Saccharomyces cerevisiae S288C: one gene and its partner. The gene in region 1 interacts genetically with each later gene. Each region holds a gene or a part of one and is shown in the gene's direction. Other genes may lie near its edges.

What was found.
Region 2: mutations in THG1 (region 1) and TOH1 together harm fitness less than expected from each alone (positive genetic interaction), as found in Saccharomyces cerevisiae (one large-scale study listed by BioGRID).

Annotation. Positions count from the first base shown.
Region 1 is NC_001139.9:531,222-534,152, reverse strand, and holds THG1 (tRNA guanylyltransferase), read left to right. Parts: upstream 1-1,556; coding exon 1,557-2,270; downstream 2,271-2,931. Other genes in the region: 40S ribosomal protein eS25 RPS25A, read left to right, coding at 1-21; YGR026W (uncharacterized protein), read right to left, coding at 332-1,168; YGR025W (uncharacterized protein), read right to left, coding at 1,212-1,514. UniProt on the Saccharomyces cerevisiae protein: Acts as a tRNA(His) guanylyltransferase that catalyzes 3'-5' addition of a single guanosine residue to the -1 position of tRNA(His), to form a non-Watson-Crick G(-1):A-73 base pair.
Region 2 is NC_001142.9:99,204-102,818, reverse strand, and holds TOH1 (Toh1p), read left to right. Parts: upstream 1-1,924; coding exon 1,925-3,115; downstream 3,116-3,615. Other genes in the region: histone methyltransferase SET2, read left to right, coding at 1-592; ASG7 (Asg7p), read left to right, coding at 1,040-1,669; CPS1 (Gly-Xaa carboxypeptidase), read right to left, coding at 3,352-3,615. UniProt on the Saccharomyces cerevisiae protein: Probable circularly permuted 1,3-beta-glucanase involved in cell wall modification through beta-1,3-glucan network alterations such as increased branching or remodeling.

The DNA of each region.
Region 1 (2,931 bases):
AGAGCTACTGCTTCTGAATAAACAGGGAACGGGTTATATAATTTTAAATAATCTGTATTTTCAATAATATTTTTATGTATGTTTATTTGCACGTCACGTTTGTGTTATGGAAGACATCATTCAGGAAGTGATACATACAATAGTCTAAAAAAAAAAGGAACATTAACGGCTGAAAAGTCAGAAATGAGGTATAAAACGGTATTTAAGAGAATTGATTAAATTGTATGTATGCCGTCCATTTCTGTACGAGCGTTAGTGGCCAAAAAAGGTAAGAGGAGAGGAAAATAAGTAAACGAACATGACATCTGGTCATCTTAAGTTAGAGAATTTCTTACGCGTATCTGGCAACTTCTTCTGTTCTCTTTTCGTGCTCCTTCATTTTCATATAAATAAAGTTCTTTATAACCTGCCATTTGTCTCTATATTTTTTGGGGACGTATTTTTCAAACTTGACAAGTAACTCCAAAACAGCCACTTGTGCGTATGGAGAGAAGTTCAACCTCAACCAATAAATACCAACATAAATGACGAGCATAAATCCGGATGTACCCGTCTTAAACAATATAGTGTCTAGTGTTAGCGCTAAGATAACAAGTAATTCAGAGTACGCAAGTAAGTGTAGCATTTTTCTGTCTTTGGGTGTTAAAGGGATCTTTTCTTCTTTGTTAGCATTCAATTCGTAGTTCATTTTAGTTAGGTGTAGATAACTTAAAATCATGTAAGGCAAAATCTTGTAAAAAGACTTACCACCACCAAAGAACCATAAACAGGCAATCAAAAGGGTATGAAAGTTCTCAGAGGACAAAAGGTCATTCCAAGTAGGGTTAAGTCCAACCCAGTTCTGTTGCATTGTGACGGACTCAGACATAAATACGCCAATTAATGACAAACGGTACATTACCTGTGGGCTCCAACTCAAAAGTTTCATGTACCATCTCTTACTTTGAATAAACGAGTAATTTTTATTGACCCTTAAGAACAACCACTTCCAGGAACGATATTTGAAGAAGATTAGGACATGGTAGAAATACGTGATAGAAAATAATAAACCAAAAACTAAAGTTAAAACGTGTCCGATTTTCCAAACTAGTTTTTGTTTTGCTAAAGGATCGGATAGGTTCTTCTTTTTGGGGTCCTTCTTCCTGATAACTTTGATAGTCTTCGCCATTTCCAACGTTGTTGTTTTTTTTCTACAAAATTTTTATATCTTTCTATAATGAATTCTCTCTTTGGGTAACCAAGTTGAATTTAAATTTGGTTCTTGTGTATGTTAGTTTTTTTGAAGAAGCACAGCCAATTGAGTACTTTGACGCCGTGCAAGTGGGTATCCTATAATAAAATGGACATGGTCTTTTTTGGCGTAAGTATCCCTTGTCCTGCACATACGCTTTTTTCGCTCTATATTCTTCAGTTTTACCCGGATTGAAAGTTTTTATTGTTTTAAAAATCACTGATGGAGAATTAATTGAAGACATGCGGATAGAGAAAAACTTAAAGGGCTCATAGCCAGTCATGTGCCTTAATGTTCAAAGATTCTACTTCCTAATGCGAGCGGGATGGCAAACTCTAAATTTGGATACGTAAGGCAATTTGAAACACACGATGTTATTTTGCCTCAGTGTTATATTGTGGTAAGAATAGACGGCAAGAAGTTTCATGAATTTTCCAAGTTCTACGAGTTTGCCAAGCCAAACGATGAAAATGCTTTGAAGTTAATGAATGCATGTGCTAAGAACCTTGTCCTCAAGTACAAAAATGATATTATATTGGCGTTCGGGGAGAGTGACGAATACTCATTTATTTTGAAGTCAAGTACAACTTTATTTAACAGAAGGAAAGACAAGCTTGCGACTTTATTTGGTTCTTTTTTCACGTCCAATTACGTCGCATTATGGGCCAAGTTTTTCCCAGAAAAGCCGTTGAATATCAAGCATTTGCCATATTTCGATTCAAGGTGTGTAGCATACCCTAATTTACAAACGATAAAAGATTATTTATCCTGGAGATATGTCGATACACATATAAACAATCTTTATAATACGACGTTTTGGCAGTTAATAATAAAGTGTGGCTTAACTCCCCAGGAATCCGAGAAGAAACTATGTGGAACATTTAGTAATGAGAAACAGGAAATACTATTTTCTGAATGTGGGATAAACTACAATAATGAACCTGAAATGTTTAAAAAGGGTTCACTAGTAACAAGAAAAGGAGAAATACTTCATATTAACGTCATCGCACAGATAGATGAGTTGTTCGAAGGCTATTAATAACCTTTATATATATATATATATATATATATATATATGTATATCAGATCATCGTTGATTTCTAATGAACTTTCTGCACTTTCCTGTTATTTCCAAAGAACTGGGTTCCTTTATGTTAATATTGGACGATCTTTTAAAAGTTAAAACTAACTCATCGTTTCTTCAGTTTTGCTATCTTATTTTTGTGATGATAAAAAATATCTCCGCGACGGGGAATTGAACCCCGATCTGGCACGCGACAAGCGCCCATTCTGACCATTAAACTATCACGGAAGTAACTCGAGTGTTCGATTTTCAACTAGCAATATATCATATTGTTAGATACTTGCGGAACAAACAAAAATAATTACATTGGGAAAGTCGCTTTTCCATTTGTGGTGACCGCTACCCTTAGGAACAGGAACCTTAAGCTAACAAGGTAATTTCTTAGCTTCCTCTGCATTCTGTCTTGCCTTCTCCAGAGGATCCAAAATGGTGTTCGAAGCTTTTGCAGAGACAATATTTTCAAAAGATGGGCCCAAATTAAGAGTTCCTTTGAACTCTGCGATCCTTCTTCTCTTCCTTTGAAGTTTTCTTCCATGCGCTCTCTTTAGTCTCTAAACCTGTATCGTCAGCAGTATGCACTTGGGTGACATGTAAAAGTTTTCCAAATGCACTTTTC
Region 2 (3,615 bases), on another chromosome or scaffold:
TAAGAAACATAAGCTGAGTGACGAAGAATATGAGAGGAAGAAACAAAAAAGACTGGAATACGAAAGAATTGCGCTAGAAAGAGCCAAACAAGAAGAATTGGAAAGCCTGAAGCAAAAGCTAAAGCTTGAGAATGAAAGAAAAAGCGTTTTGGAGGATATTATAGCGGAGGCCAACAAACAGAAGGAGTTACAAAAGGAAGAGGCCAAAAAACTAGTGGAAGCAAAAGAGGCTAAGCGGTTGAAAAGAAAAACGGTCTCCCAGTCCCAAAGACTAGAGCACAACTGGAATAAATTCTTTGCATCTTTTGTACCCAACTTAATAAAAAAAAACCCACAAAGTAAACAATTTGATCATGAAAACATTAAACAATGTGCTAAAGACATCGTGAAAATCCTAACTACAAAGGAACTTAAAAAAGATTCTTCAAGAGCGCCGCCTGATGACTTAACCAAAGGAAAAAGGCATAAAGTTAAAGAATTCATAAATTCATACATGGATAAGATTATCCTCAAGAAGAAGCAAAAAAAGGCGTTGGCATTATCATCAGCATCAACAAGGATGTCTTCTCCTCCACCTTCAACATCATCATAATTAACCAGACATGCATATTTGGGGCTTGTTTCACGTTTTCTGTCCCAAAGGAAGTCTTGTACTTTAATTGTAATTGCGATTTGTAATAAGTAATTTTTTTTGTCTTTACCGTTTATTTCTTTATACATTTTTGGTGCATATATTTAAATATCCGCATTAGTGGGCTATCAGTAGCACTGTAATGATAGGTAATGTGACACATCTTCTCGACAGATATTATTCTTGAAAAAATCGTGCGTTTCAAGTGTCTTTATTTTTTTGCTGTCAATAGAAGTGTTGAAATGACTTTGAAACGTAATTACCGCATCGGGAAATTTACATGTTAACTGCAATGAAAACAAGGAATATACGGGGAACATATAAAGGGTCAGCGTCGTTGACTAGTCTGTCATTTATATTGTGCTTGTACATAGGACTACAAAAATTCAAAGAATGACGACAAGAAACATGACTACTTTAGCATCAAGTATTGAGCATAAAACAAAACATCTAGCCGCGCCCTTCGAGAACGATGAGAACCCTTGGATGAAAAAATACTGTTGCCAATGCAAATCATGTAAAATGAGTGTGCCTGTCCAACCTTGGCTGCCAAGGTTTTTTGTTTTTGGAATCTTGTGCCCCGTTTTCTGGTTGGTGAATCTTTTAGCCTGGTGGTTCTTACAGTATTGGCAACCACATGAATTGGAATTCCACGACTTGCAAGAAGACGAATACCCAGGATTTTATGAATATGAAGCCATAACTAAAAGAACGGTGATACCCATAAAGGAAGAAGTCCTCCAAGAGATTCGCGTCATGCAGAATTTCAGTGATAGCAACAGCGAAGAATATTACGAGAGCAAAGACGGTATGCCGTCGTCTTTCCTAAACGTGAACACGGAACAAGTCGAGGACGAGAATGACACCTTGAAAAAATATCGTTACGCGTTTTTGAAGAAGGTAGCCCACGATGTGCTGGAGTCGCACGATTTATTACGTAAGACCTTCCGCGACTGGAATTTACGGTCTTTGCTTGGCCTCCTCATCGATTCTATACTCATAATATTTGTAGTTCTCCTATGTAAGAAAAGCCGTTAGGTAGATCTAAAGACAGAAAATGATATCAGCCTCTTTCTTTTCCACAGCCTCCATTTCCCATTTTTGCTGTATCTGCAAGGGTTCCTTTTTCCATTTTTTTTTTTCAAAGTCTTGGCTCCGCCCTTTTCTTTTGTCTATTTTGCCGAGCTTAGGTTATTTATAAACCTGAAAATCCTCGAGAAACAATCCTTATCGAAGGAAGCAGCCATAATAGAACATACTCAAGTGCAAACATTACAAGCTTAAATAAGACAAATGTTACAGAGTATAGTCCTTTCCGTGTGCATGTTTATGTTGCACACAGTCGCTGCCAGTGGACCTCAGTCGTACCAAAAGTTGGATTTCACTAATGTTGGTTTTACAGGCTCCTACGTAGATGTGAATAAGTTTAAAGATATCACCAACAATGAATCGTGTACTTGCGAAGTGGGTGACAGAGTATGGTTTAGTGGTAAGAACGCTCCACTAGCAGACTATTTATCCGTTCATTTCCGTGGACCATTGAAGTTGAAACAATTTGCTTTTTACACATCCCCTGGATTTACCGTCAACAACAGCAGAAGTTCTTCTGATTGGAACCGTCTTGCCTACTATGAGTCCAGTTCCAAAACCGCTGATAACGTTACCTTTCTAAATCATGGAGGTGAAGCTTCCCCTTGTTTAGGAAATGCTTTGTCCTACGCTAGTTCTAACGGTACTGGCAGCGCCAGTGAAGCTACCGTTTTGGCAGATGGCACTTTGATTTCTTCAGATCAAGAATACATAATCTATTCGAATGTCTCATGTCCAAAATCAGGTTATGATAAGGGTTGTGGGGTTTACCGTAGTGGCATTCCAGCTTACTATGGGTACGGAGGTACAACAAAGATGTTTTTGTTTGAATTCGAAATGCCTACTGAAACTGAGAAAAATAGCAGCTCTATTGGGTACTATGACTTGCCTGCTATTTGGTTGCTAAACGATCACATTGCAAGGACTTCTCAATATCCAACCAATGCCAACTGTTCATGTTGGGCTAGTGGATGTGGGGAATACGATATTTTTGAAGCTATGAATGGTACGGAGAAAAACCATCTCTATTCTACTTTCCACACTTTCCAAGGTATCGAGGATTTGGGTACTGGTATCCAATCTTACGGATACATAACAAGAAATACTACTGGAACGATGAAAGGTGGTGTTGTTTTCGATTCTAGTGGAAATGTCGTTTCTTTCATATCTGATGCCACTCCATTCAATGGAACTGTTTCTGCTGATACTGTTAACGATTTATTGGCTGCAATTCCAGAAAACGAAACCTATTCTTCTCAATTGATGAGCATTTCTGCTACTGCGCCTTCGACCACCTCGAAGTCGAATGGTGTTGCTTTAACGAAGATGCAAAACGGTGTATGGTATTATATTTTGGCCATATTCACTGCCTTTACGCAAGTGGTTTTGATTTGATTTAAGTCATTGTATGGTCATATTATCATCATCATTTAAATTTTGATTTGACACTTGATTTGACACTTCTTTTTTTTTTTATTTATGTTTTGTTTAACTGACGGTGTTTTTTTTTTTACGTTATACTGATACATATATAGACGTGATTTATTTAAATAAAAAGTTCTATGAAAAAAAAAAAAAATTAAAAAAAAAAAATTAAAAAAAAAAAATCTTTGACTATTCAATCATTGCGCTTAAGCGTATTCGTTAACATTAACGATATACTCGTAAACAAAGGCAATGGCAGATAAATGACCTGGGACATCCACGTGTTCATTAACCGAATGCAATGTCTTCAGTAAATCAATATCAATGATAGAGCCAACAAACCTATAAATGTTCTTGGACAAATTCCAGTAGTATTTAGTATCGGTGTTACCAGAGAATAAACCAGTAGTCACATAGAACTCTTCGTTGTTTTGTAGAACACCGTTTTCAAAAACATCTTGAATAGTACC